4 linked regions of the Struthio camelus genome follow. The protein of the gene in region 2 binds, or shares a complex with, the protein of the main gene of each other region. Links are inferred from orthologs where the notes say so. Each region holds a gene or a part of one and is shown on either strand. Other genes may lie near its edges.

Evidence for each region.
Region 1: POLR2E (region 2) and POLR1H share a complex: the UniProt entries of both Homo sapiens proteins name them as parts of the pol I pre-initiation complex. The link is inferred for Struthio camelus from reciprocal best matches to the Homo sapiens genes POLR2E and POLR1H.
Region 3: POLR2E (region 2) and RRN3 share a complex: the UniProt entries of both Homo sapiens proteins name them as parts of the pol I pre-initiation complex. The link is inferred for Struthio camelus from reciprocal best matches to the Homo sapiens genes POLR2E and RRN3.
Region 4: POLR2E (region 2) and UBTF share a complex: the UniProt entries of both Homo sapiens proteins name them as parts of the pol I pre-initiation complex. The link is inferred for Struthio camelus from reciprocal best matches to the Homo sapiens genes POLR2E and UBTF.

The regions. Positions count from the first base shown.
Region 1 is NC_090977.1:793,332-800,732, forward strand, and holds the start of POLR1H (DNA-directed RNA polymerase I subunit RPA12), read right to left. Parts: upstream 3,014-7,401; 5' UTR 2,923-3,013; intron 2,896-2,922; exon of another isoform or gene 2,694-2,895; intron 1,680-2,693; exon of another isoform or gene 1,668-1,679; 5' UTR 1,666-1,667; coding exon 1,536-1,665; intron 1,423-1,535; coding exon 1,322-1,422; intron 1-1,321. Other genes in the region: MGAT1 (alpha-1,3-mannosyl-glycoprotein 2-beta-N-acetylglucosaminyltransferase), read left to right, coding at 5,824-7,140. UniProt on the Homo sapiens protein: Core component of RNA polymerase I (Pol I), a DNA-dependent RNA polymerase which synthesizes ribosomal RNA precursors using the four ribonucleoside triphosphates as substrates. Can mediate Pol I proofreading of the nascent RNA transcript.
Region 2 is NC_090967.1:7,260,587-7,267,963, reverse strand, and holds the start of POLR2E (DNA-directed RNA polymerases I, II, and III subunit RPABC1), read right to left. Parts: upstream 3,006-7,377; 5' UTR 2,854-3,005; coding exon 2,797-2,853; intron 2,363-2,796; coding exon 2,188-2,362; intron 1,630-2,187; coding exon 1,514-1,629; intron 1,048-1,513; coding exon 967-1,047; intron 742-966; coding exon 683-741; intron 495-682; coding exon 416-494; intron 1-415. UniProt on the Homo sapiens protein: DNA-dependent RNA polymerase catalyzes the transcription of DNA into RNA using the four ribonucleoside triphosphates as substrates.
Region 3 is NC_090956.1:11,723,189-11,730,613, forward strand, and holds the start of RRN3 (RNA polymerase I-specific transcription initiation factor RRN3), read right to left. Parts: upstream 3,006-7,425; 5' UTR 2,802-3,005; coding exon 2,709-2,801; intron 2,179-2,708; coding exon 2,122-2,178; intron 952-2,121; coding exon 862-951; intron 773-861; coding exon 643-772; intron 137-642; coding exon 77-136; intron 1-76. Other genes in the region: transmembrane protein 238-like, read right to left, coding at 7,091-7,100. UniProt on the Homo sapiens protein: Required for efficient transcription initiation by RNA polymerase I (Pol I). Required for the formation of the competent pre-initiation complex (PIC).
Region 4 is NC_090966.1:4,609,390-4,616,706, reverse strand, and holds the start of UBTF (nucleolar transcription factor 1), read right to left. Parts: upstream 3,009-7,317; 5' UTR 2,780-3,008; intron 2,714-2,779; exon of another isoform or gene 2,614-2,713; intron 2,385-2,613; exon of another isoform or gene 2,168-2,384; intron 1,693-2,167; exon of another isoform or gene 1,582-1,692; intron 1,488-1,581; exon of another isoform or gene 1,392-1,487; intron 1-1,391. UniProt on the Homo sapiens protein: Recognizes the ribosomal RNA gene promoter and activates transcription mediated by RNA polymerase I (Pol I) through cooperative interactions with the transcription factor SL1/TIF-IB complex.

The sequences.
Region 1 (7,401 bases), on a different chromosome or scaffold from region 2:
CGGGGTTGGGGGGGACGTTAAACCCTTCCCAAGGGGGGCTAGACCTGCCCTAAAGGGGCTTATACCCCTCCCAGGGAGGTTATACCCGTCCCAAAACGGTTTATTCCCATCCCAAGGAGGTTTATTCCCATCCTGGGGGGGTTATTCCCATTCTAAAGGGGTTTATTCCCCTCCCAAGGGGGTTTATTCCCATCCTGGGGGGGTTATTCCCATTCTAAAGGGGTTTATTCCCCTCCCAAGGGGGTTTATTCCCATCCTGGGGGGGTTATTCCCATTCTAAAGGGGTTTATTCCCCTCCCAGGGGGGTTTATTCCCATCCTGGGGGTGTAATTCCCATTCCAAAGGGGTTTATTCCTATTCTAAGGCTTTTATTCCCCTCCCAAGGGGGTTTATACCCATCCCAAGAGGGTTTAGTACTCATCCCAAGGGGTTTATTCCCATCCTAGGGGAGTTTATACCCATCCCAAGAGGGTTTAAATCCATCCCAAGAGGGTTTATTCCCAACCTAGGGGGTTTATACCCGTTCCAGGGGGGTTTATTCCCATCCCAAGGGGGTTTATACCTGTTCCAGGGGGGTTTATACCCGTCCCAGGGGGGTTCATACCCATCCTAAGGGGTTCATACCCCAGGGGGTTTATTCCCATCTCGGGGGGGTTTATACCTGTTCCAGGGCGGTTTATTCCCATCCCAGGGGGGTTTATACCCCTCCCAAGGGGTTTATTCCCAACCTAAGGGGTTTACACCTGTCCCAAGGGGGTTTATTCCCATCCTAAGGGGTTTATTCCCATCCTAAGGGGGTTTATACCTGTTCCAGGGGAGTTTATACCCATCCCAAGGGGTTTATATCCATCCTAAGGGGTTTATACCCATCCTAAGGGGGTTTATACCCCTCCCAAGGGGTTTATACCTGTCCCAGGGGGGGTTTATTCCCATCCTAAGGGGGTTTATTCCCATCCCAAGGGGTTTATACCCCTCCCAAGGGGTTTATTCCCAACCTAAGGGGTTTACACCCGTCCCAAGGGGGTTTATTCCCATCCTAAGGGGTTTATACCTGTTCCAGGGGGGTTTATACCTATCCTAAGGGGTTTATACCCGTCCTAAGGGGCTTTATTCCCCTCCCAAGATGTTTATAGCTGTCCCAGGGGGGTTTATTCCCATCCTAAGGGGTTTGTACCTGTCCCAGGGGGGTTTATATCCATCCCAAGGGGGTTATACCCATCCCAGGGGGGTTTATACCCATCCCAGGGGGGTTTATACCCCTCCCAAGGGGTTTATTCCCCTCCCAAGGGGGGTTTACCCCCGTGCCGCCGCCCGGGCTCACCACGGGGCCGTCGAGGCCCGGCGCTGGCTCGGGCGGCCGCGGCGCGGCGAGCTCGGGCCGGTTGAACTGGACGGCGGTGCGCACGGCTCTGCCGTCGAAATCTGCCGGGGGGGGACGGGGGGCAGGCGGTGGGTAACGGGTTTGGGGGGGGGGGGGGGGGGCCCAGGCGTCCGGGCCTGCTCCCCCCCCCCCCCCCATTCCCCGGGGGGCTCACCGGCGACGTCGAGGGCGAAGGCGCAGCGGGCGCAGCAGACGGCGTCGCGGGGGCCCGGCCGGGGCAGCACGGCCCCGCACTCGGGGCAGAAGTCCAGGCACGACTGGAAGCGGGACGGCGGCGGCTCCATGGCTGGGGGGGGGGCTGGGGGGGGCAGAGGGGTGCCTTTCCCCCCCTCCCATTGCCTCCTGCCCCCCTATTGCCCCCCATCACCCCTTATTGCCCCCCATCATCCCCTACTGCTCCTATTGCCCCCCATCACCCCTTATTGCCCCCATCACCCCCTACTGCTCCTATTGCCCCCCATCACCCCCTATTGCCCTCTATCACCCCCCATTGCCCCCATCACCCCTATTGCCCCCCATGGCCCCTTATCACCCCCTATTGCCCCCCATCACCCCCTACTGCTCCTATTGCCCCCCATCACCCCTTATTGCTCCCTATCACCCCCTATAGCTCCTGCCCCCCATTGCCCCCATCAGCCCCTATGGCCCCCTGCCCCCCATCACCCCTATTGCCCCCCATCCCCCCCTACTGCTCCTATTGCCCTCCCATCACCCCCTATTGCCCCCCCATTGCCCCCATCCCCCTATTGCCCCCATCACTCCCCACTGCCTCCCCATCACCCCCTGCCCCCTATTGCCCCCCATCACCCCCTATTGCCCCCCATTGCCCCTTATCACCCTCTACTGCCTCCCCATTGCCCCCATCAGCCCCTATGGCCCCCTGCCCCCCATCACCCCCATTGCCCCCCCATTGACCATGTTGCCCCCATCACCCCCTATTGCCCCCATCCCCCCCATTGCCCCCATCACCCCCTATTGCCCCCTGCCCCATTGCCCCCATCCCCCCCATTGCCCCCATCACCCCCTATTGCCCCCTGCCCCATTGCCCCCATCCCCCCCATTGCCCCCATCACCCCCTATTGCCCCCTGCCCCATTGCCCCCATCCCCCCCATTGCCCCCTGCCCCATTGCCCCCACCCCCCCATTGCCCCCATCAGCACCTATGGCCCCCTGCCCCCCATCACCCCCATTGCCCCCTGCCCATTGCCCCCCATCACCCCCCACTGCCTCCCCATCCCCCCTATTGCCCCCATTGCCCCCATCCCCCCCTATTGCCCCCCGCCCCCTCCCATCGCCCCTCCACGTGTCCCACCGCCCGGAGCAGACGAGACGAGCCGGGGCCGCCGCGGCGCCCAGAGCGGCCGGCGTGGGGGGGAGGGGCCCCCACCCACGTGACCCGCCGCCTTCCCGCCCTCTCTTGAGGCGACGCCAAAAATGGCGGCGGCGGCGCTCGGGGCACGAACGAGCGAGTTTCCCCTCCCCCCCCGTCACAACTTCGACCCCCCCCCCGAAAAAACCCCGCCAAAGACCCCGAAACCGACCGAAAAAGCCCCAAAGACGTTAAAAACGGCGGCGGGCGGGCGCTGGAGCGCGGGGAGGGGGGCGTGGCCGCGCGGGGAGGGGGCGTGGCCGCGCGGGGAGGGGGGCGTGGCCGGCGGCCCCGCCCTCCCTCGGGCTGTACCATCCCGCCGCGCGGGGGGGGGGAAGGGGAGGGAGGGAGGCGGCGGGAATGGGAGCGCCCGCAGGGGAGCGCGCGTGCGTGCGTGCGTGCGTGGCCTTGCCCGGCGCTGATTGGACGGCGCCGCCGCGGTGGGCGGGGCCGGGCCCGTTGCCATGGCGCCACTTCCGGCGCGGGCAGGCGGAAGTGGCGGGCGCTGCTGGGAGCCGCCGCTGGTACCGGAGGGGCGCGGAGGGGCGGGGGGGGGGGAGGAGGAGGAGGAGGAGGGAGGCCCGGACCCCCCCCCCCGGGGGGGAGCATGTCCCCTATAGGGGTGTCGGGGGGGGGGTCCTGTCCCCTATGGGGAGGGGAGGGGGCTGGGGGGGGCCTGTCCCCTATAGGGGGGTGTGAGGGGGCCCCTGTCCCCTATAGAAGTGTGGGAGGCTCCCTGTCCCCTATAGGGGTGTGTGGAGGGGGCCCTGTCCCCTATAGGGGTGTTTGGGGGAGATCTCTGTCCCTTATAGAGGTGTGTGAGGGGGTCTCTGTCCCCTATAGAGGTGTGGGGGGCTCCCTGTCCCTTATAGAGGTGTGTGGAGGGGGCCCTATCCCTTATAGGGGGGGGTGTGGAGGCTCCTATCCCCTATAGAAGTGGGGGGGGCCTGTCCCCTATAGGGGGTGTGTGTGGGGCCCCTGTCCCCTATAAGGGGGTGGGGGGGGCTGTCCCCTATATAGGTATGTGGAGGGGGGGAGCCCTGTCCCCTATAGAGGTCTATATGGGGGCCCCGACCCCTGTAGAGGTGTGGAGGGGGCAGCCCTGTCCCCTATAGAGGTGTGGGGGGGGAGCCCTCTTACCTATAGGAGTGGGGGAGGGCCCTGTTCCGTATAGAGGGGTGTGTGCGGGGGTCCTCGTCCCCTACAGAAGTAGTTAGGGGTGTCCCTGTCCCCTATAGGGCTGCGTGGGGGGGGGGTCCCTGTCCCCTATAGGGCTGCGTGGCGAGGGGCGGTTCCTGTCTCCTATAGGGGTGTGTGGGGGGGGTCCCTGTCCCCTATAGGGCTGTGTGTGGGGGGGGGGTCCCTGTCCCCTATAGGGCTGCGTGGGGAGGGGGGGTTCCTGTCCCCTATAGGGGTGTGGAGGAGGGATCCCTCTCCCATATGGGGTGGGGGGGTCCCTGTCCCCTATAGGGCTGCGTGGGGGGGGGTCCCTGCCCCCCCCTTTAGGAGGGAACAGGGCTGGGATGGGGGGTGGGGGGAAGGTCCCCGTCCCCTATGGGATTTGGGGGGGGGGCAGAGGGGGAACCAACCCCCTCCCTCATGTCCCCCCTCCCCCCCCCCGCAGAGCAGCCGCGAGCGGCGCCGGGGGCCCCGGCGGGGCCGCCCCCCCCACCCCAAATCCTCCCCCCCCCTTCCCCCCCCCCCATGGCTTGATCCGCTTCCCGGCGCGGAAAAAACCCCGGAGCCGGATCGCGGAGGCCTCGACGTTGGCCGGGGGGGGGGGGGAACGGACGGACGGACGGACGGACACCCCGGCGAGCCCCCTCCCCCGGCGCCGGCCAGGTAAGGCGGCAGCTTCGCGCCGGGGGTTTTTTATTTACCCTTCCCGCGTTTTGGGTTTTTTTTTTTCCCCTCCTTTCGCCGCCGGGCTTTAAATCCCGCCGGAAAAAGCAGCGGGGTGGGGGGGGGGAATCCTTTCCCCCCCCCCCTTTTGAACAGAACCGACAGGTTGCGGGGAAACTTTTCCTCGCCCCTGGGGCGTTTTGCCGCCGCGCGACGTGACCCCGGGGGCGAGGAAAAGCAGCTTAAACCTCCCCCCCCCACCCCGGGCGGCTTTAGCGAATTAACCTGCCTCCTGCCGCGTCTTTTCCTCCCGCCAGGAGGGTTAAAAAAAAAAAAATAATAATAAAACCGGTCCCAAAACGGCAGCGGGACGGCGAGTCCGGGTTTGTTTGTTTTTTTTTCTTCCCTCCTTCTTTTCAGGAACGTAAATCGCCGCCCGCCGGAGCCGGGGCGGAAGTTTTCGTTCGGCCGCTTGCTCGAGCGGAGGAGAAAGTCGCCCCGGGGACGGCCGCCTCCTGCCTGACTTCAGTAACCCAATATCTTCTTTTTCTTTCTGGTTTCTTTTTCCCCCGGTTTTTGTTTTTTTTTCCCTCCCCCTCGTTTCCTGCTCTGCTGACGTGTTACCTCCGCCACACGGCAGGAGTCGGGCCGGGCTCGCCGGCGGCCGGGTGAGTAACTCGCCGCGGAGGCTCCCCCAAAGCTTCGCGTTTTTTTTTTTTTTTTTTGGGGGGGGGGGGGGGGTCTGTTATTCTTTACTTTTTCCCTTTTTTTTTTTTTTTAATTATCCCCCTCAGTTTTTCACGTAGAAAAGCTAAAACCGCCCCGGCGGCTTTTCCCGCCCCGTTTCGGCGGCGAGTTCGGCCCCGGCGCCCAGGTTAACCTTTAACGGGGACGGACTCTGCCCCGGCAGCTGGGGTTTTTGGGGGCAGATCGGGGAGGGGGGGGGTTGTTTTCCCCCCCATCTCCTTTTCTACCGCAGGCGACTTTCGGCCTCGGCGCTGGGGACCTCGGGGGCGTCTTGTTTCCTCTCGCGACTTCCTCTTCGGGGTGTTTTTCGAGCGGGCGTTGGGCGTGGAGAGGTTTTTTTTTTTTGGGTGGTTTTTCTTTTTTTTTTAGGGGTTTCGAGAGGTTTTTAACGCGGCGCTCGGCTCGGCTTTGCCCGCAGGTCCATGGCGGCGGCGTGAGCGCGGTGGAGAGAGAGAGAGAGGGGGGGGCGGCCGCCGGGTGAAGGATGCTGAAGAAGAGCAGCCTGGCGCTGTGGGGGGCGGCGCTCTTCGTCGCTTGGAACGGCCTGCTGCTCCTCTTCCTCTGGAGCCGCCCCGCGGCCCCCGGCGCCGAACCCGGCCGCGGCCTCACCGAGGAGGTGATCCGCCTGGCGCAGGATGCCGAAGCCGAGCTGGAACGGCAGAAGGAACTGCTGCGCCAGATCCACCGCTACAGCGGCTTGTGGGGTCGCCGCCGGCGCCCGCCGCCTCCCCCCAGCAGCCCCCGGCCGCCGCCGTCACCCGCCGCCGCCTCCGTCGTCCTGCCCGTGCTGGTGATGGCCTGCGACCGCAGCACGGTACGCCGGTGCTTGGACAAGCTGCTGCGCTACCGCCCTTCGCCCGAACGTTTCCCCGTCATCGTCAGCCAGGACTGCGGGCACGCCGAGACGGCGCGCGTCATCGCCTCGTACGGCGACGCCGTGGCTCACATCCGGCAGCCCGACCTCAGCGACGTGCCCGTACCCGCCGAACACCGCAAGTTCCAAGGTTACTACAAAATCGCCCGTCACTACCGTTGGGCTCTGGGACAGGTTTTCCGTACTTTCCGCTACCGGGCGGCCATCGTGGTGGAAGACGACTTGGAAGTAGCGCCGGATTTCTTCGAGTATTTCCAAGCCACTTTCCCGCTGCTCTTGGCCGACCGCAGCCTCTGGTGCGTCTCGGCCTGGAACGACAACGGCAAAGAGCAGATGGTGGACGCCGGGCGAGCCGAGCTGCTCTACCGCACCGATTTCTTCCCGGGTCTCGGTTGGTTGCTGCTGGCCGAGTTGTGGGACGAACTGGAACCTAAATGGCCTCGAGCGTTTTGGGACGATTGGATGAGGCAACCCGAGCAACGGCGGGAGCGTTCGTGCGTGCGCCCGGAGGTGTCGCGCACCATGACGTTCGGTCGCAAAGGCGTGAGCCACGGCCAGTTCTTCGACCAGTACCTGAAGTTCATCAAGCTCAACGACCGCTTCGTGCCTTTCACCCGGCTCGACCTCTCCTACCTCAAAAAGGAGGAGTACGAACGCTCCTTCCTGCCCCGCGTCTACGCGGCGCCGGAGGTGCGGGTCGAAGAGCTGCAGGGCAACCGGCGCCGCGAGCTGGGCGCCGTGCGCGTGCGCTACACGAGCCGCGACTCCTTCAAAGCCTTCGCCAAGGCCTTGGGCCTCATGGACGACCTCAAATCCGGCGTGCCCCGCGCCGGCTACCGCGGCATCGTCAGCTTCGTCTACCGCGGCCGGCGCGTCTACCTCGCGCCCCCCTCGGACTGGACGGGCTACGACCCCAGCTGGAGTTAGCGGCGTCCCCGCTCCCCTCTCGGTTCGTTTGGTTTTTCCAACCAAACCTTCCTCCCGCTTCGGGTTGGTTTTACCACGTTTTAGCGCTCCAGCCCGGAGGAACCGGGTGGATTTCTTTTCTTTTTTTCAGCCCGGGGAGTTGGGGGGGAGACGAGGAGCCCCACCGGCACCAAAGCGTGGCTCTTGCGCCGCTCGCCCAAATGGGTTTCGTTCCCGGTTTGGTTTGGTTGGTTTTTTGGGGTTTTTTTTCCCCCCCCTCCA
Region 2 (7,377 bases):
AGAAGCTGGTGGCAAGTTTCCCCAGCAGGGCTTCCCTGCCAGACACGCATACACACTCAAACCCAGACAGAACAGTTGCAACACTGCAACCCTCAGGAGCCACAGAGACACTGGGCACCAAGCTTCAGGCCTGTGGCTGGAACGTAGCATAGAAGTGCCACCTTCAAGTGCAGGGCAGTCAAAGGTTGGGAATGGAGTCACATCTGCTGGTCCTCAGAGGATTCAATGGCCACAGCTGTCTCCCCTTGCTGGAAGCCTGCCCAGCTTACACAAGTCTCTGTACCACGACAGCTTTCCCATGGGAAAGAAAGGCCCTTCCCTTCTCTTGGGGTTCAGAAATATCATCAATACCCCCTACTATCACAGCTCTGCCTATAGAGAACTGCTGCCTGTCACCAGCTTGTGTCACTCTTACCTGACCTCGCTTTATTCCAAAGTACCTGGCCACTGGATCCCCAGCCTGTATGCGTGGGAGCTGGTTCTCTCTCAGCTTACTGCACAGGACAGTCAAGGAAGAGCTCTATCAGCAGCATAAGCAACTGGCTCAGGTACCCATTTGTTTTAAGAACGGGCACGGTTATTAGAACCGACTAGTACATTGTCACACTCAGAGGTGTATTCATTTTCAACTTAAAGCAAGTATGAATCACACCCAGGGAGGGAAGGAACAAACAAAGGATACTATCGGGCTAGTAGCTCAGTTACTTCTTCCTTTGTCATGACCACGTGCTCTGGAACCAACTGTAAACAAAGGAGAGACGTTCCAAGATTAGAAAACCAGAGAAACCAAAAGTCTCCTCACAGCAGCAGGACAAGGAACATGTGGGTAAGCAAAACTAGAACAACTACTGCTGTGTCACCCAGCCTGACCTTCCAAACAGAAGATCGCTAAAAGCTAGGTGATGGTCTGCAGCTCAGCAGAGAGACTGGTTGCCTCGCCTTTGCTCCACTGCCAGCACAACTTACCTCATGTTCTGTGATGTTGATCAAGAGCTCTTGCTGCAGAAACTGCTCCAGGATATATTTGGGAGCCATATCTACCAGGGACTGAAAAGGAAAAGGCATGTCAGACTGCAGCACAGGGCACTGCTCGAGGTCAGTCCTACCTGCGCTCAATAAACATCACATTGCAAGGGATATCATTACATTTGTGCTCACACAGTTAGAGCTACACAGCAAACTGCTAACGGACCTTGTCACCGCTGGCAAGTATCTCCTCTCCTCTCATAAACCTCAGTAGGCCCTCTCTTCTTCTTTAACCAGAGTTAGAAAGCTCTCTTTAATCAGAGCCAGTTGTTCTGGTTAAACACATTTGCATGTTAAGCAAGACATGTCCCCTGCGTTAAGGGACAACAGGTTTTAGTGAAACATTTTCTCAGAAATAAAATTCAACATTCTTATTAATCTAAAGCAGCACTGCAAAACAAACATGCAAAACATCCATAGTCTACAATTGCCCTCTGGACCGTGAGACAGGTTGTTTTTTTTTTTTTTTAAAAAGGGTTCTCTGTACCTGCTTTGCTGAGGGAGTCATGCCTTGCTGTACCACAATCAACGCTCTGGTGATGTTCTCCTCCTGCATCCTCTGACAGTACATCTTGATTGTCTTTATTCCAACCTTGGGCTCCTCTAGGAGTGAGGGAGGTACCATGATCACGATACATGCATTCAGTAATCCACATTCTAATAGCCTTTGTTTTGCAGCCAGTGATACACTTATGCACAAATATTCATTCATTCTACTCTGTGATGTATTTTCTTTTTGCACAACATTCTGCATCCAGCCTACCAGCTGCAGAAGTCACCCCTGCAGTCATACACAGCAAAACTTATGGAATGTTTTGCCTTGTTAAACCCAGTGGAATAAGGCATGTTGTGTAAATAAAGAAAACCCAGCTGGAGCTTACCACACCAAGATATTTATTTTGCAGGACAGAATAAGCTTTCTGAAAGGCTTCATGCCAGTAGAACAGGAAGAACTGGCTTTCATTAGAAGTGAGTTTTTGAGCGCTGGGGAAGCACAGTCACATCAGGCTTTCAGAAAGCCAAGCCATCCCTTCCACACAGCTTCTATCAGTGTGAGGCAAAAAGGTAACACGCAACAGCAGCAGATATTCCTTGGTGCCTGAGTTAACAGTTTTGAGAAGTCCAAGCTCACTGCACATATGGTAACTGTGTCACACTTACCTGGGAAGAAAACAAACATCTGATCAGTAGGATCATCATTATGAGCCACCAGCACTGTCAGGTCAGTGCGCCTCGGCCTCCCTTCACTAGGCTTGTCCCCAAACTGGGCCTTGAACTCCTCCAGGGTCTGATCCAACTCATCCTGAGTCACCAGATAGCCCCGATCATGACAAAGCTGCAGAGAACATCCTCACTTAAGACACACAACAGGTAACCCGTGTTCACAGCTCCGCTCACTTCCCACACGCAGCGTTTCACCCTTCGCGCTCCAAACACAAGTCCTGCTGCTGCCGGAGCCCGCACCAGAGCGCCAGGCACTGCTGAACCATCAAGCCCCACCACGAAAACTCCGTACAGCTCTTAGCACAGCGCAATCCTGCCCGCGCCCCGGAGAAGGGGGACAAGCGCTCCGAGGCGGGCCCGAGAGAGTCCCAAACGCCAGGACCCCGCCGCGATGGCTCCCCAAGGAGAGCAGAACAGAGGGCCGGGCCGGGCCTCGCCTCTCCCCCCACCCGGCTCGGCCCCAGCCTCCCTCCAAGGCCCAGGCCGCCCCCAGGCTCCCGCCCCGGGCCTCTCGGCCCGCCGGTCCCCCAGGCCCCGGCCCCGCACCTGCATGATGGTCTTGCGGATCTTCCACAGCCGGTAGGTCTCCTCCTCGTCGTCCATGGCCCTCGCGCACGCGCGCTGCCGCCGCCGAAAGCCCCCCGCCGGCCCTGGGGCGCCCGCTTTAAGCGCCTGCCGCGCGGCGCTGCAGGCGGCCGCCGGGGCCGCCGCGGGGGCCTCGGGAGCAAGGGCTGCTGGGAGGTGTAGTCCCGCCCGCCTCGCCCCGCCTCGCCTCGCCTCGCCGCTGCTGCCCCCTGGCGGGCGGGGGCCCCCGGGGGGGGCTGGGGAGGGGACCCTGAAACAAGGGGTCTTGGGGCAGGTCCTAGGGCAGGTCTGGGGCAGGGGGTCCTGGGGCAGGGGGGTCTTGGAGCAGGGAGGTCTTGGGGCAGGTCTGGGGCAGGGGGTCCTGGTGCAGGGGGGTCTTGGGGCAGGGGGGTCTTGGGGCAGGTCTGGGGTGGGTCTGGGGCGGGGGGGTCCTGGGGCAGGTCAGCGACCTGGGCCTGGCACAGTAGAGGCTCTAGGGCAGGGCAGGGGGCCTGGGACCACCAGCTCTGCGTGCCCAGGCCCCAGCCCGGGGGCTGCCCAGTCCCCCCAGCGGCCTGTGCGGCCATTTGTCACCATGCCTGACCCCTCCCGGCCACCCTGCAGCTGGGGACGGTGTGGCAAGAACGAATCGGGGAGAGAAAAACAGAACAAATCCTCTTGCAACACAATGGAGCAGTCTCAAGCCCAGACGCGTGACAGTGACACCCCCGGTGGGGACGGCCCTGATTGGGGTGGGGGGGCCTCCTCTGCCACAGCAAAGGACATCTCTTCTTTGCAGCAGGGCGGAGGGACAATTTTTTTGCCAGTTTGAATTACAGCTCTGAGCTTCTCAGCCCAGGACACATCAAAAGACCACAACCTGTCAGTAGCAGTATCTACCAATTTTGCACACAGATCAAGTAGAAAACTCCTTTGAAGGGGGATATTATTCAACGTAGATGCAAGCTTCACTGGCAGAGACAGAAATCCAACCCTCTGCAAACAATCCGCCTGCTGAGGCTCTTTTCCTGCCGCCTTTAACTCTAATCACAAGCCGTCATTAATCCTGCCTAACAAAGCACTAAAAAAAGACACAAACTATTGGTCAGGGATCTGCCTCCTTTAATCTCGTGTTCTCCCAAATTATCCCAGCTGGAGAGCCCCTTTTTTCCCCCCTTTCTTTCACGTTTTTCAGTGCTTGCGTTGCCCTACAAATTGGCTCAAAGAACATGGGCAGGACAGGAGCTCAGCCCCGCCGCGTGGGCTCAGCCGTGTTTTGTGCCTCCCTTCGTTTCGGCAGGACCTTTCAAGTTTTCCAGTTTCCACTCAGCAGCAAGACGAGGGATTTTAACTCCTAAGAGCTGGTCTAAAGTTAACGGCCTACAGCTAATTGTCCTTGACAGCCAGCAGCGTCAGCGGCTGTCCGTGGGGAGCCACAACCCAAGACCAAGACCAAAAGCAGCCAAGACTGTGGCGAGCGGGAGATGCTTTTATCTGCAGCCTCTTCTGCTCCCGGTGCCCTCCTGGATCCAGGCATTGAGTAGCCACAGGAAAATGTTCCCGTCTGCCGTCACACCGCAGCCCCACAGCCACAGCTCAGTCACGGGGCTAGAAACTGCTTCCCAAGGACGTTCCCCAAACCCACTGGCCCGCGAGCAGGCAGCACCTGTAGCAGCCTGCACCCAGCTGCAAAGAGGTGGCTGCAGGCACCCAGGCAGTGCAGCCCAAGGGTGCAGTGATCGGCAGCCTCCGCCCTGCACCACCAGTGACGCTCCAAACCATGCACTGTGAGCAATGCTCCAACCATGCACCGCCAATGATGCTCCAACCCTGCACCGTGAACGATGCTCCAACCCTGTACCACGAGCGATGCTCCAACCTTGCACTGTGAACGATGCTCCAACCCTGCACCACGAGCAATGCTCCAACCATGCACCGCCAACGATGCTCCAACCCTGCACCATCAGCAATGCTCCAACCCTGCACCGTCAGCAATGCTCCAACCAAGAATTGTGAGCAATGCTCCAACCCTGCACCGTGATGGACGCCACCATCCCCGCACCGAGACCCAAGCAGCCCCGGGCCATGTGCCGCGGGAGGGCCACCGCTGGCGCCCCAGGCCCAAGGGAGCCCCGCGGCGGCGCCTGCAGCGCCGAGCACCGGCGCGGCCACGTGACTGGGGACCCCCCGCCCCACCTCGTGGTCCGTCCCTGCCCCCCCCCCCCCGCCTCGTGGTCCGTCCCGCCTAACCGATAAACAACCGCTGCGGCCAAACAGCCCCCTGCCTGCTCTGCGATTGGCCAGCTGCGCCGTCCATCATCTGGGCCGTGCCGCCTCCCCGCGCGCTGATTGGCCGAGCCGCCGGAGGGGGCGGGCCTCAGGGCGGGAGGCGGTGGCGGCGCGATGGTTTTGGGTCACTTGTCACGGCGGGCACTGCTGTGCGGGGTGGTGGCGGCGCGGCGGCTGAGCGGGAACATGGTGAGCGCGGCGGTGCCGGCGGGGGGGGGGGAGGTGCGGCGCCGGGCACGGTGTCGATGTCGGTGTCCACCCGCCTCAGCCCCTGGAGGAGGCGAAGCGCGTAACGGCCCTTCAGTGAGGTGACCATAGAGACGGCCTATCCCCAGGGCAGAGTGGCGGCCGCCTTTGGCGGACCCCCGCGCGGGACGGTGGCCGCCGCGGGCCACGCGCCTGGCGGCAGCGCTGCGCAGCCCGGCGGCCGCCCCGATCTGCCCGTGCGCGGAGGTGGGCCCGGAGCAGCTGCCAGCTCAGCTCCCCTCCCCCCCCCCCAAAAAAAAAAAAAAAAAAAGGGACCGAATCCGGCTGGATGAACCCGCCGGGAGCCGGGTGGGCGGCGGCGCGGGCCGGGCTGCAGCGCTCCGTTGTGCGGCAGGAGCTGCTGCTGCTGCTGCTGCTCCTGCTCCTGCTCCTGCTCCTCCTCCTCCTCGGGGAGCAGCTCTTGCCTCAGGGAGGGAGCGAGGAGCAGAAGCCAGCCGTGCTCAGGCGCTGCCAGGGCCTGGCCTGCTCCCCCCGTCCGGCCAGGGCACAAACTGGTGGTGACTGGGGACGGTGCTCGCGGCCTGCCTGGGCCGGGCGGGAGACCCGCTCCTCCGACGGGGGGGAGGCCTCCAGGATGGCCCCTGCCTGGGACTCCATGAGGGCCTGGGGCACGTACAGCAAGGATCTGTGCTTAAGCTTCTAATTTTGTGCTTGTCCAGCCGTCACTGCACAGGGTGAGGAAATGCTGGGAGAGGTGTGGTGGGGGGAGGCTCTGGAAACCGAAGCCCTGCCTGGGGTGCTCCTCCAGCAGTTGAAGCACCCAGGATGAATCATGGGGTTGTTAAACCTAGCAGGGAGCAACATCAATAACGTGCAAGTTTTACTGCAAGTTTTACATTGTGCTGCGTAGGAGAAAAGAAGACCTAAGAAACTGTAGTTTGGGAAACTTGTAACTTAGCTGGATTATCATGACCCTGTGGGTGGACCAGCTGACATGGAGCACGTGGCTCATTTGGGGCACCTGACAGCAGGGAGCCACCAGAGTGTGTGACACTTGCCTTCCTGGGTACGCTCAGCTTCTGCTTCACGAGTCCTGACATGAGCAACGAGTAGAGAGGGGAGCTGCTATGGATGGGAGGGACAGAGACAGCGAGCCATCAGCATGGGGGCACAGGCACAACCTATTGCTGTGACATGGCTCACTGCTGGTCTCCTGTTGGAGCTGAGCTCACCTAAAGCTGGAGAGGACGTGCTGCTGGGATTGCTGGGGAGGGAAGCTGACAGCAGCTCTCGGCTCTCTTGCAGTGTGCCCAAGTAGATGACTGGCGCACTGCCAAATCAATCTATGACTTCCATGCCCAAGACATAGACGGCAACACTGTCTCTCTGGAGAAATACAGGTAGGAGTGAACGGCCTGGAATCGGCTTGTCCTTAATAACGCAGTACACAAGCATGGGAGGGGGGAGGTGGTGCCCTTGAGCCCTCGAGGGGGAGTGCTGTTCAAAGGTCCTTAGTAGCTGCACCAGGCAGCAGTGACTAAGCCACAAAGGGAGCTTGCATAACATGAGAAAGGCTACAGAGAAAGCAGCTTGTTTTTTGTGCTGCCTTCCCTTCTTGCTGCACCCTTCACAGAGAGCATACGTGAGGGGCTTGCCTAGCCCTGTTACGGGAATTCCTTCTGATTCTTTTTCTTTCCAGGGGCTTTGTCTGCATCATCACCAATGTTGCTTCAAAATGAGGCAAAACGGATGTAAACTACACTCAGTTCGTTGACTTGTACGCCAGATACGCTGAGAGAGGTTTACGCATCCTGGCCTTTCCCTGCAACCAGTTTGGAAAACAGGTATGTGGGAGCAGCAGGAAGGCTGCCCTGGAGCCGTACACAAGGGCAGCTCTTGGTCTTGAGGATCCGCTTGGCTAGCTGGGGTCTGCTTGCCTCCCCAGTACACGAGAGGGAGCCCATACAACATCCGCATGCCAGCAGAGCCATGGAGTTTCTGTGCTGAAAGGGGAAGAGGCTTATGTTAGAGTGCCCTGTCTTTTGCCTTCCTCAGGAACCAGGGGAC
Region 3 (7,425 bases), on a different chromosome or scaffold from region 2:
AACCAACATGCACGCTACACTTGTTTACTAAAGGTAGTACAATAGTATACACAACCCATGCTTCCTTTATACTCACTTTCTTCATCATCATCAGAATCTGAAATGTCCACATCATCCTCTCTGATAGTTATCCGAGCTAGCAAAAAGTGAGATTATTATTGTAAAACCATACAAATCGTATAGGTAACAGTTCTGATGCCAAATCAAAGTACACTGGATGACAGACTTCATTGGAACTAAAGCATCAAAATTATCCCCATGACTTTCTATAATTGACTTTTTATTCAGCTTATTGCAATCAACTGTTTTATTCATAGAGCCAGAAGGTTCTCTAAAACATTGACATGATCTTCATCTCAGCATTTGTTTTTTCAATTATAACAACATAATACAGTTCACCCCTCTCCAAGACATTTTCAGAAATGGTATCTGACTGTATTAGCCATTAGAATGTGTGTTCTGAAATCTAAGGTACATAAAATGGACTGTGTTCCGATTCAGTCATTGAAGTGAAAAAAGGAATCAACAGAAAAAAAATGATAATTGGATTAATTCTAGCATGGATTAGTTTTCTAATAGAATTAATCTAGGAAAGAGACATTTTGATAAGCCAGTAAAGAAGAATTAAAAAAAGTAACTTACGGGGAATAAACTGCGATACAATCATGCGGAGGCATGGCCTAAGATGGACAGTTTGTGCTGACACTAGATTGCCAAGAAAACCTAAATATTCTTCAACTACATCTCGGCTTCTTCTCAACCACGGCAGCTTCTGAAAGCAAGTAAAGATGAAGATGTCAAACACAGAGATATTTTAAGTACTAAACTCTTAATCTTTGCATATAGCAAACAGATATTTACCAGCAAAATGTTGACCAGTTGTTCAAGATCTTTGGTCAAGTATGCAACAGAAGCTCGGAATTCATGTAGCCAATTAATGATCTGGGCATCCTTAAAATAAACAGAAAAAAACAAGTAACAATTTCAATAAATAATATGACCTATTACTAGAAAATAACCTTAAAATGACAAAACAAAGATTAAGACTGTAAATAGGAATTATTTTCACGTTAATGTGACAAGAATTTCTCAGACTAAGTTTGTCTCCCTACTAATAAAAGTTCTTCAACGCAAGAATAAATGCATAGCATCTTTCAAAGCAACAGCCTGCCTGAAATATTTAACTTAAAGTCTGGGCAAGGGATGCAAACCGGACTTAAACAGAATATATTTAAAAGAGATGGAGCTCAGAGAATGTTAATTCTCTTTTCTTTTCTTGTTGCTCTTAGTTTAAGCAGAAAGGCCATCCAAGTCTTGAAATAAGAGCGATAGTGGAACAGCAGCAGATCTACAGAGAAATATTACATTGATTTTGCCTGTAGTCTCCGAAAAGTCTGCTAAAAACAATTAATTTTACACAACATCCTCTTTAAAAAGAGGAGAAACTCAATTTGGCATTATACTTGCTGCAACATGCTTCTTATAGTTTAGTGGTTTAATAAAAAAAAGAAACAAAGATGGCAGACAGGATGGGTACTTATGGCTGTAATGAGCAGCTCTTAAAACAATACTTCTGGGTACAAACGCTAAATGTACATGCATCTCACTGCCTAATTAATTAAACATTTAATAAGAACTGAAGGAAGTAAACATTAATGTAACTTAGAGGCTGTAAAAGTCAGAAGGAAAGACAACAGACTGATCTACGAAAGTAATCCATACATAGAGCGACAGGCCCTTGGCACAAAGCAAAAAGTTTCCCACTCTAGAGCACAAAAATAGTAAATGTCGCTTTTGACATTTTTGTCGCTTGAATACCTATCAAGGTCATGCATATAAGATGCATGTCTCTGTGTAAACAGACAGTTGCTGGCTTTTTGTTTGGACTTTCAATTTTGATAGTTCCCACAAAGCAAAGAGCTGTTAAATGCTGCTAAATGTTTAAAGGAAAGTATTTAGGCAAGTGACAGGCACTTTTCTAAACTGATCTACTTGCAATAAGCCCATTAATAATAATAAAACAGTAACTGCTTTAAACACCAGAATCACTTGCCCGATGATTACACTCACATCTGTAACTAAGCTTTAGGTCATCAGACCCTTCACTACAAAAACGCTTACCTTTATGTCTGGATCTGACAGTTGATGCTTTAACAACTCAAAATCACTGGTTTCACCCTAGTAGGGGGAGAGAGAAAAAAAAAAAAAGAGCAAATGATGTTTATGGACTTGTGCCAGAAAATACAAACCTAAGCTTCATCAGCACATCTAAACAAGCTGACATTGTTTAGCAGCGACACAAATAACTGAGAAAGCTCAAGTAAAGCAGAAGTAACAGAACGCTCTCCCTGAAGGGCAGCTTTAGCTATCAGGTCGTTTCTGCTCCTCTCCCTATAGAGGCAGTTGCGATCACTTGGCGTCCTCTGGTATCAGTCAGACTTTGCAGCCATCAAAGGCGTCACTCAGACAGACTCGTCGGGGAATTTGTTTCACTTAGAGAACAACGCAGTCTGGCATATGCCCAAAGCACTCAGCTACCTTCTTTTTCCTACGCCACCAGACACCCTCTCGTGTAAGACAAACTAAGTCTTCATGTCCAAATTAAGTGCCGCAAACTAACAGGATGGCAACACACGCGACGGAAAGGCGGCGAAGAGCTGCGCAAGCACGTCCGCGATCCACGACGGGGAAAAGAGAGCGATAATCACCTTCTCGTACTTCAGCAGGATATCCGTCAGGGTGCCCCCGAACCGCACCGTCTTCCTCGGCGGGGAGCTGATGAACTCGTCCCCTCCCAGCATGGTCACAGGCCCGCGCCTGAGGAGAGGCGACGCCGCACGAGCGCCCGGCACCAACGGCCGCGTCCCAACGGCCCCCACCCCCCGGGTCGCGAAGGAGACGGGGCAGCACCTCCTCGTGCGTCGCCCCCGCCGCCGCCGCCCCTCGGCGCCGCCTCGCCTCGCGCCCCGCTAACGGCGGAGGCGGCGCCGGCCGCCGCGGCCCCCGCACGCCGCCAGCCGCTGCCGCCGCCCCATGCCGGCCCCGGGCGGAAAGGGCGCTCGCCTCCCCGGAAAGGGCGGCTGCTCCGCCCCTCGCACCATAGAGCGGCACGGCTGGAGGGGCCGCTGCTGCTCTGGCCTGGGCATCGCTGGTGCGGGCGGACTGAGGGGGCGGGGCGGCAGGGCCGGGGCGAGCGGACAGGGGAGATACCCGCCGGGCAAAACGCTGTCGCTACTGCCCCCGTTTTCTTAGGTTTTCCCTTCTATACCTGCGGGTAAGTAAACACCGTCGTAGACATTTAATACTCACAGCTGGAAGGTATTAAAGAGCAGTGCGAGTAAACACTCAAGCTCAGTGTTAGACTTGAGAATTGCCTAGGGAAAGAGAATTCCAAGGTCATGTCAATGTCACCGTCCGTCATTCAGAACTGCATCTCTGATTTGGGGCCAAGTGACTTTTTGTTTATGTGTATACCTGAAGACATGAAATACGAGATGACCTGCGAGCTGCTGCACTGAGAACTGGCCAGATCCGTCGCAAGTCCCCACATCCCAAAGCACATCGAGATCCCATGCTGGCGATACCAAGATTGCAACAGCCAGCTAGTAAATTCAGACTTTTCCAAGTTTATTTTTTTATCGTAAGCTGTGCTACTACGGCCTAGAACAAGGGAAAAAAAAAACTGTCAAATGATCCCTTTTACTCAAGATTAAAGATTGCTGAAAAATTCAGTTAAAAAAAAAAAATTTTGACCTTGGGAAGCAATTAAGCGTTTGTTAGAGCAAAGGGACAGGCAGAGAGTTTCGAGAAGCTTTCTGGGCTTTTTCATCCTCTTCCTGTAAGCTAGGGCTATATTAAAGCACCACACTGCTAGCACAGCATTTGAAGAATGATATAAAATAAACTATGGACTTTTCTATCTCTATGCTAACAACTGCTTTTCCTCTCAAAACAATATGTATATATAAAAATTGCTGTTGAGAAAATCATTAGCTGCTGCTATTTCAAAGGCCATGTTTTTGATAGACGCCAGCTGATACTATTAATGGTCGTAGCAGCACATATAATTCAAAAAGAATTATACGTGAAAGCCTCCAATAGCTTTCAGAGCAACCAGGATAAATATGAATAGGAAGCAGGCATTTTCCATCTAGTTCTTCAGTAACATTCAATTTGCTCAAAACTTTTTTTTTAATCCAGCTGAATGCTTCCTGCTCCAATACATGTAAAACAGCTACAGCAACATGAGATTATTTGACCTTTGTTCTCTTCTGCAGCTTATTGCTTTCGACACGAACTGCTACTGGAATAAATATCTCCCTCCCACCAAATGCCCGCCTCCCCCCCAAATACACCCATCAAACAAAAATCAAACAGAAGAGATTTTTGCAGAATTTACTAATAAATTAACTTTTACTAATTTGTCCCTTCATAAGATGTTTCTGTTTAAGGAAAGTAAACAGCATATATTGCATTAAAAGTCTCTTCAGATGTAGCCCACATACAAGATTCTAACAAACATTCACTCATTTATGGTTACAAGATCAGGGTTTGGCTTTTTTCCTTTAGTTATCATGTAAGGAAGTGGAATATAGGATGCCATTTTTCAGCTAAGCTTTAAGGCGTAAAGCAGGTATAAAAAAAACTCCTGTACAACCAAACTTCTGTAACCAGAGTTGGGTTCTTTCGGATTTTGGCTGTTTTTAAACATAGAGTAAGGACAGTCCTTTAAGTCTAGAAAGAATTCTCACAGTATATGCAAAATTCAGAGTTCACAGAAGTACAAGCAATCCTAACAATGAACAAGTAATTTTTTTCCTCCCATAAACAAGATACAAGTTCTTTGAATGGACTTCGTTCTGCATTGAGCTACAACTGATAAGGATCCTGGGAGGCTCAAATAGTGTTAAATACATGCTAATGTTTAACAGTTAATCATTGTTTGACTTGCTGGTTTCTATTTACTATTGCAGTCTTCCTTATTTAGGAAATAAAAAATAGACCACATTAAACAGGAACTATTTTACATTTTCAAAAAAAATAAAAGTATGATAGCTTACAATAGTTATCATTGCTCCCATGCAAGTATGTTGTATCTTATCGTTATTTAGACACATCCTACTAGTAACATTTAAGTGTTTTTCTATGATTAACTTGGGTCTTTCTTTTCTGAGGTGTCAACTCTTATATTTAACTGTTAAGACACGCACAGTAGACTACTCATAAATGCAAACATCGGAATCCCTCACAGTTGCTGAGTGGGGTTGCAACAACAGGCAATATTCTATCTACCATCCTACACAACTATCACTGGGTATCCAATGCTGGATTCGGGATTAATCACTACAGTAAGTAGGAGAACGGCTACCCACAAAAGTTTTGGGTTAAATTATCGCTGCTACTCATCATTCCACTTACTAAATATTACATCTCATAATTCAGTTCACAGATCAAAACTATGGGGGATCAGTACAAGCAGTTACCTCTGTTCAGAACAAGTAAATGAACGTGTTTCTTGTGAACAGCCCTGAAACAATGATCTATAGGTTTTTAGGGAAGGAGATTATTTAAACAGCACATTGTAACAACATATTGGTGTCACATTGCAGTTCCTCTAAAAGAAAAAGGAAACAACTTTAGATACCTTATAAAAGCTACAGTTATTAAGGAAGAAATTGAAATTTTACAGACCTTCAAGTCTAGCATCTATTTAAACTTGTTGAAAGATTGAAAGCATTTGGAAAACATTTTAAAATTGACTATGCATAGAAAGGTACAAGAGAAAGTTACAAATTATTTGGAACAGAAAGTCGGAAGACATTTCAAGAGTTCACAAGGAAGTAGAGCCACTGTTTTCCTACTAAATGTTTTCCTTAAATCCACCTCTATATTCAGTTAGGTGTGGCATAAAAACAGTTGTCTATTAGAAGTGGAAGACCTACCCATATTTGCTAATGGTAAGTTCAAACTCTTAGCGTTAGTTCAGAAACAGAGGAACTCATTAGGAAATTCTCCTACACAGAATTTTTAGGCACAATTATCACAGACTAATTGGGGCTGGAAGGGCCACCTGGAGATTGTCTGGTCCAACCCCCGCTCAAGCAGGGTCACCTAGAACAGGTTGCCCAGGACTACATCCAGTCGGGTTTGAATACCTCCAAGGATGGAGACTCCACCACCTCTCTGGGCAACCTGCTCCACTGTTCAGTCACTCAAAGTGTTTTCTTACGTTCAAGTGGAATTTCCTGTGTTTGATTTCTCGCGTCTTTAGCTGTAATATAAATCTTTTCCCACGTGCTAGTTCTAATTTCAGTTACGTTTGCATGTAGATTTGGTAAGATTTTTGTAAAGCAAAGCATTTGTTAATCTATAGATTTCTGAATGTTTCAGCACTAGAAAAATAATTCCTGTAACATCAATGGATTAAAAAGCCTCCTCTTAGAGCGATCATATTACATCATTTTCTGCTATGAAGAAAAAAAAAAACGGTATCTCAACAACACTATTTTTACTTGTTACTTACAAAATTTCAAATTCTAAGTTATTCCAAGATGACGAAATATATTAAGAGTCACAATAAATTGTGTATTTACACTATAAACAATTTATGCTACGTTTGTAACTTTGCTTCAATAGTTTTACATAGATATTTTTAAAGCACTTTACAAATAGAAGTATTGCACTGGCATCATAAAAGTTCACAGTGAATTTGAACTCCAGACCTTGGTAAGACAGTGCAAGAGCTTTTCATCCAAACATTCCTGGGTATATTAAAAAGTATTTCTATATTAAATGTTGCAGTGATTTTTCTATGAATCAGGTTTGTTTCCTTGTTAGTTCTCACTTCTTAAAAGATTTAGTTTATGTTTTGAAATGTTGCAAAATACAATAAAAACTATGCAGTCCAACACTGAAATAGGTACATCTGGCAGAGATACGTGACTGTGTGTCCGTTTTATACAGAGTCCATGACGGTCACAGAGATTATTCCATAATGAAAGAATCCTATTGCATTAAGTGGGTTATTCTCTTTCCACAATTTGCAACACTTCCCCCACTTTTAGAGGCAGTAACTTCAACAGTCGTGTCTTCAGCAGATCCTGAAGATAATATATTAAAAAAAAAAAAGTTACTTCCAAATAGTCTTAGAATAAATACTCATATAAAACTCTCAACTATTATTTGAAGTCAGCCTGAAAAGTACTTTTCCACAAGTTTAACAGCCAGCTGGGGTCAAATAAAAGACCCATCAAGTCAGTAGCTCGTCTCCAACAGTGATCAAGAGTGGACGTCTAAAGAAGGGCATAAGGACATGGCAAGCTAGTAGTATCTCCTCAGGATATTATCTTCGCTTCCACCTACTGTCCTGGGTCTTCCTGAGCTAAAGAGCTTCGCGTCTCTTCTGTTTTTTTCTCTTGGCTTTTT
Region 4 (7,317 bases), on a different chromosome or scaffold from region 2:
CATTCTTGGGGGGGGGGGGGGCGGGGGGAAATCCATGGAGCACCGGGCAGGGATCACCCAGCAGCGCAGGCCCGAGGCCTTGGGGGGGGGGGGGGAACCCGAGCTGGCGGGCAGTTTTGGGGGTGGGGGGGGGCAGGCCCTAAGGGGGAGTGATGGACCATCCCCGAGGGGGGGGGAAAGAGAGGGAGGATCACCCCCGGAGGGGGGGGGGCTGGAGGGGGTCACCCCCCCCCCGGGCAGAAGCCCGGCCCCGGCGGCAGTGGGGGGGGGGGGGGGGCTGGAGGGGGTCACCCCCCCCCGGGCAGAAGCCCGGCCCCAGCGGCAGCGGTGGGGGGGGGGGCTGGAGGGGGTCACCCCCCCCCCGGGCAGAGGCCCGGCCCCAGCGGCGGCGGCGGGGGGGGGGGGGGCTGGAGGGGGTCACCCCCCCCCCGGGCAGAAGCCCGGCCCCAGCGGCGGCGGCGGCGGCGGGGGGGGCTGGAGGGGGTCACCCCCCCCCCGGGCAGAAGCCCGGCCCCGGCGGCAGTGGGGGGGGGCTGGAGGGGGTCACCCCCCCCCCCGGGCAGAGGCCCGGCCCCAGCGGCGGCGGCGGGGGGGGGGGGGGCGGACCGCGGGGCGGGATCCCGGCGGGGCGGGGCAGGGGGGCGATGCGCGGTGCGCGCGCACCGGGAACCGCGGGCGCGGGGGGGGGGGGGGGGGGCGCACCGGGAACCAACCCCCCCCCCCTTCCTCCGCGGAAGGAGTGTGTGTTTGGGGGGGGGAGGAGGAGGAGGAGGAGGAGGAGGGGGGGGGGGAGGAAGGGGCCGGGCCGGCGGGCGGGCGGAGGCGGGGAGGCCGCACATGCCCTGCGCCGCCGGCCAGCGCCGAGTCTCCTCCTCCGCCAGGCAGCAGGAACCGGGTGGGACCCGCGCGCGCGGGCGGCCCCGGCGGCGCCTCCCTGCCCGCCGCGGCCGCGGCCCCTCCGCCCGCCCCCGGCCGCGCCGCGCCGCCGGCTCCCGCCGCCGCCGCCGCCCGGGCGCCAGCGCGCGCCGCCGCCGCCGCCGCCTCCCCCGCCCGCCGCCCGCCCAGACAATGGAGCGGCCCCGGCTCCGGGCGCCCCGCGGCTCCGCTTCCCCCGGCCGCGCCGCCCTGCTCCGCGCTGCTCCGCTGGCTCTTCCCTTCCCCGCTCCGCTCCGCTCCGCCGGCCCTGCCCTTCCTTCCCCTGCGCTCCGCTCCCGCCCCCGGCCGCGCTGCATGCGGCCGCCGCTCCGCGGCCCCCTCCGCCGCCGCCGGGCGCTGCAGCCCGCTGGGGCCCGGGCAATGCGGCGCGGCTCTGCCCTCCCTTCTCTGCTGCTGCTGCGGTTCCCCCCCCTCCTCCTCCTCCTCCTCCTCCTCCCTCCACCCGCCGCGGTTACCGGGCTCGGCTGGGCTCGGCTCGGCGCGGCCGCTCTCCGCCGCGGCACACAATGGCCGGGCTGCGCCCGCCTCCGCCCGCCGTTCCGCGCCGCTCCGCGCCGGGGCGCGCCGCGCCGCGCCGGCTCCGCCGCAGCCCGCCGCCCTGGGCGCTGTGCAGCCGGCGCGGTTATAAAGCCGAGACAAACCCACCTCCCGAGGCTCCGGGCTGCAGGGGGAGGCGGGAGGTGGTGGTGGTGGTGGGGTGGGGGGGGGGAAGAGAGAGAAGCTCGCCGAGCCGCCGCAGCCCCAGCCCCGCCGGAGCCGCTGGGGGAAGAAGAAGGAGGAGGAGGAGGGGGAAGGGGGGGCGGGGATGCCCGGCTGGGGGCGGCCGGGCAGCTGCAGCGAGCCGGGCGAGGGCAGCGCGACCTCCCCGCACCGACCCCCGGGGAGCGGCTCCTACCCACCACCCCCCCCCTCCACCACCACCACCACCGCCGCCCCCTCCTCCTCCTCCTCTCCCCCCGACCCCTCCTCGCACGGCGGAGCCCAGAAACACCCACCCACCCAGCGGGGGGCTGGAGCCCCGCTCTCGGTCCGGGGGAAGAAAGGAAGAAAGAAGGGGGGAAAAAAAGACAAAAAAAAAAAAAAAAAGAGGGGAAGAAGGGGGAAAAAAAAAAAGAAAAGAAAGCGGGGGAATAAAGCGGAGGTGGGGGGGGGGAAGCGGACGAGCCCGGGCACGCACCCTCCGGAGCGCGGCCGGGCGGCGCCGAGCTCCCCGCCGCGGCGCGGGACTCACCCGGGCTGGGGAAAAACAACCGCCCAGCGCTGGAAGCCTGCCCCCGAAATCCAGCTGCAGCAGCCGGGGAGGGAGGGAGGGCGAGCGGGAAGGAGGGAGGGAGCGAGGAGGAGGAGAGGGAAGGAAGGGAAGGGAAGGAGGAGGGGGGGGCACCGAGGCCGCCGAGCCGAGCGCTCCCCCCGCGCCGAGCCCCAGCGCGGTGCCCCCCGCCGGCCCGGCCCGGCGCGGCGCGGCGGGGAGCGAGCGAGCCCCGACGGCGGCGGCGGCTTCCTGCCCGCGGGGCCTGCGCGGCCGCCCCGGAGAGCGGAAAAAAAAAATTTTTTTGAAAAAAAAAAAAATTAACAAATCTAAATCAACCTCCTCCCCCCTCTCTCCTCCACCGACACCGCCACAAAAATCTTCCCCCCCCCTCCACCTTCGCTGCGATCGGAGCGGCGGCGCCTTACCGAGAGCCCGGTGCGCGGCGGCAGCGGGAGCCCGGGGAGGAACAAAGCGCCTCCTCCAGCCCCGCCGGCGGAGCGGCGCGGCGGCGAATGGCGAGCCCGGGCGGCGCGGCACGGCACGGCGCGGCGCGGCGCGGCTCCGCTCCGCTCCCCCGGCGCACGCACGTACCTGCGGGCCCGCGGCTGGGGCCGCGGCTCGGCGGGGCCGGGGCTCGGCGGGGCCGGGGCGGGGAGCGCCGGTTGAACGGCGGCCAGCTCTGCAGCGCTGGCCCCGGGCGTGGACGCGCTCCAGTCCCCGCAGAGAGATCGCGCTTCCCCCGCCTCCATGGCGCTGCGTTTCTCTTCCAATCAGCCGGGCTCTGCGCGCCGGGGTCCGCCGCCAGCCTCGCCGCTCCCCAGCGGCGCCCGCCGGCCGCCGCCGCCCCGCGCTCCCACCGCCGCTCACTGTGTTTTTTATTGCTCTTTGCTTTTGCAACACTGTAGCGAGAAGAAAAGAGGAGGAGGAGGAGGAGGAAGGAGAGAGGAGGGAAGGGGGGGGGAGGAAAAAAAAAAATCTCCTTACATGTGCAACAATCCTCTCCTGGCGTTTGCATAAAAAAAAAAAAAAAAAAAAAAAGGGGGGGTGGTGGTGGTGGTGGTGGTGGGAAGCGCGGGGGGTGGGGGAAGCCGAGCCGCCTCCCGCCCCGGTGGGTCCCCTCCGACCCCGCGGGTTGCCGCTGGGCCACCCCCGGCGCCGGGCAGCGAGGGCGGGCAGCGCCCGGCGTTGTGGCCGCGCTCCCGGCCCCGGGCGCCCGGCCGCCGCCGCCCGGGACACGGCCACGCTCGGGGATTTCCCCGGCGGGGCGGGCGAGGGGCAGTTTCCTCCCCTCCTTCCCTCCCTCCGCTCCCCTCTCCCTTTCTCCTTCTCTCTCGCTCTTAATTTTTTTTAATGCAATTTCTCCAACTCCACCTTTGTTGTGCTGGGCGTCATTCCCCGCAGCCAATCCCGGCCGGGCAGCTGCCTGCAAATTACCGGCCATCCCAAGCTGCCTGCAAATTACGGGCCATCCCAGGCTGCTCGCACACTACCGGCTGCCCCGGTTTGTCTGCGCCTCACCGGCCACCCCGGCGCTCGGCGCCTTCCCGGCCGTGCCCGGCCACCCCGGCGCTCGGCGCCTTCCCGGCCGCGCCGGGCCGCTGGCGTGCCACCGCCGTTCCCGGCCGTCCTGCGCGCCGGCAGCTCCCGCCGGCACCTGCCGAAGGGCTCGGGGGGTCGGGAGCTGGTGGGGAACCCCCCCTGCCCAGGACCCCGTGGGATAGGGAGGTAGAGCCCCGCCGCTGCAACCGCCGCGGAAATGCCAGCAGGCGCCTCTCCGTCCGCTCGCCTGGGAAATACAGCCAAAATCCGGCGGGTTTTTCACCGCTCTCTACAAGGAAAGGGGAAAAACAGCCCCCAAGTGCAGGTGCAGTTGGCCCCCTCCCAGGCTGACGCAAGCAGCTTATTCGGGCCTTGTCTTGCAGGCGAAAGTCGGAGGCGGAAGAGCAGCCGGCCAAGCTGCCGGCCGGCCCCTCCGCCGGCTGCCGCGCTGCCGCGCAGGCCTGCTCTCCAGCCGGCACGGCCGCCGAGGCGTGCCAGGCGGCTCCGCGGAGCTAATCCCTTTGGCCAAAGATTAAAAAAAAAAAAAATACGTATATATTTATCCTGCGTGGAAAGGGCCGCTTTGCTGAGCTGGTTTTCCTGTTCTAAATTAGGTGAAATGTCACTGTTTTGCAAGAGGGGGAAAATTACCAAAAAAAAAAAAAAAGAAATCACAGACAATCAGGCCAAACATTCGAACGCTGGCATTTTTAATCTTTAATTATTTTTTTCATCTCTCAAAGACCCATTTGAGTGGAAAGCAGCTTTCAGAAAGCCTAGCAGATGTCTCACCTCAACAACATGCCCGTTTCCCCTTTTTATTTTGTTTTATTTTTAAAGCTCCCACGCCGCTGCAAGCCGACGATGCCTCCTAACCAAAAAGCCATTTTGGATGGGAAACTCCCAGCTAGCTCTAGCTGCTGCACAGCTAGCAGTGATCAGCAGTCACGGACGGCCTGAAACGCGGTTATATTTTTTTGCTACCAAAAAGGGAACGTGAGGCGTGAGAACAGGCCGTAAAAACCTGCAGCAGGTTGGCAGAAACGGAGACGCCGCACAAACACCTGCTCAAAACGCTCCCCTCCTTGCTCTGCTGCGCGCTCCTCCGCGCCAGAGGACTTTCTGCTTGCAAAGGGAGTTTTTAATCGCTGTTATTTGTACACGTGGGTATTCTTGCTGCCAAAAGCACAAAGATTGCATGCGAAGGTGCGTGCAGGCCTGCAGGCTCTTTGCTGCTTCTCCCGTTTTTGGGAGGCTCCCGGCTTTCAGAGCGTTTCACGCCGATGCTGCGGATGTTGGGCCACGGCTCCGTCTGCCGTCAGCGGGCGCTCGGCCGGAGCCGGGTGCGAGCCCCTGCCGCGTGATGCAGGCCCACGGGCTCAGTGCCGGCGCGGGTGCGCATCCGCGGCCCCGCGCCGCACCGGGCAGCTCCGCGGGCAGCTCCGATGCTGCAGAGGGGTTGCACCAGTCGGCGTGAAAAATTGCTAGCGGCAGCACACCCAGGTGGGGAAAAAGGCGGTTTGGGAGGCGCAGAGCTGCTGACGGTGTCCAGCACGGCCGGCCCAGGCGAGGGACGCCGGCCAGCGGATTTGCCGGCCCCGGGCTGGAAAACGCTGGCCACCTACCTCCATCTGTCTCCGGCCGTTTGCAAAAAGCGGGAACGGCCGCGTCGGGTTTAGAGCCGGTCTGGGAAAAGCTGGGTGTAGCGATGGGTCCCGCTTAGCCCTGGAGAGCCCTCGGGGACCCCAATGTCCTCCCCAAGGAAACGCTCGGACCCCCCCCCCCCGCAGCCCTATATCTAGAGCTGGGGTGCAGGCAGCTGTCCTGTGCCGCCCTGCTTGCCATCGCTAACGAGATTATGTATAATCAGGGTTAATTTGATGCCGGAGCGGTCTGCACCAGGGCGGGGGGTGGGGGGGCTGCCATCGCCATCTCCACATCCAGGCTGCGCCGTGACCCTCTCGGCCACCCCGAAACCCGCCGCCAGGGCCGCCACCACCGCCTCCCCCCCGCCGATGCCCGCCTCGGCCTCGGCCCCCGCCGCGCCACCGCTCCCCCCCCCGCCGCCCGCCGCGGCCTTGGCAGCCGGAGCTCTGCACATGCGTCCCCGGCCGCTCGGGGCGGGCGGAGGTGGAGCGTGGCCGGCGGGAGGCACGGCCCGGGGGGCCCCGCTGCGACGGCGGGGGGGGGACCCCACGGCCACCCCGGCGGGGCGAGCGACCCCGGGGCAGCAGCCCGGCGCGCGGGCAGCGGGCGCTGCTGCAACGCGGGTGCTCGCGGCCGGGGAGGCAGGAGAAGGCCCCGAAAAGGGCCGAGCGGCGGCGAGGCCCCTACGCGCCCGCGGCCCCGCTCCTGCCCGCGGCGGCCCTGGGCCTTGGCTGCCCTCCCCGCTGCCCCGGCGCCTCTATATTTGGCGGCTCCCAAGGTGACCGGCGGCGCGGCGCCGCTCTGCCGGACCGCCCCGGGCAAGGGGCAGCTGGCCCAGCAGCCGGGCTGGCAGGCCCGCGGGGGACCTGGTGCGGGGACCCCCTCGGCCAGGGCGAGGGGTGCAGGGACCCCCCCCAATGAGGGTGATGGGCTGTTCTCTGACAGCAGGACCAGTGCCTCGCAGTGTCCCCACTTGGGACCAGTGCCTCCCAGTGTCCCTGCCTGGGACCAGTGCTGCCCAGTGCCCCCGCCTGGGACCAGTGCATCCCAGTGTCCCCACCTAGGACCAGTGCCTCCCAGTGCCCCCACCTAGGACCAGTGCATCCCAGTGCCTCCACCTGGGACCAGTGCCTCCCAGTGCCCCCACTTGGGAACAGTGCCTCCCAGTGTCCCTGCCTGGGACCAGTGCCTCCCAGTGCCCCCACCTGGGACCAGTGCATCCCAGTGCCTCTGCCTGGGACCAGTGCCTCCCAGTGCCCCCACTTGGGACCAGTGCATCCCAGTGTCCCTGCCTGGGACCAGTGCTGCCCAGTGCCCTCACCTGGGACCAGTGCTGCCCAGTGCCCCCGCCTGGGACCAGTGCTACCCAGTGCCTCTGCCTGGGACCAGTGCCTCCCAGTGCCCCCACTTGGGACCAGTGCTGCCCAGTGCCCCTGCCTGGGACCAGTGCATCCCAGTGTCCCTGCCTGGGACCAGTGCCTCCCAGTGCCCCCACCTGGGACCAGTGCTGCCCCGTGCCCCCACCTGGGACCAGTGCCTCCCGGTGCCCCCGCCTGGGACCAGTGCTGCCCAGTGCCCCCGCCTGGGACCAGTGCCTCCCAGTGCCCCCACCTGGGACCAGTGCTGCCCCGTGCCCCCGCCTGGGACCAGTGCCTCCTGGTGCCCCCGCCTGGGACCAGTGCTGCCCAGTGCCCCTGCCTGGGACCAGTGCCTCCTGGTGCCCCTGCCTGGGACCAGTGCCTCCTGGTGCCCCTGCCTGGGACCAGTGCTGCCCAGTGCCCCTGCCTGGGACCAGTGCCTCCCAGTGTCCCTGCCTGGGACCAGTGCAGCCCAGTGCCTCTGCCTGGGACAGCGCATCCTGGTATCTGTTCGCCCTGCTGCTGGCCCTGGGTGACACAGGTGGCTCACCGGCCAGCGGGGTCCGAGCCCTGTTATTTAGCTAG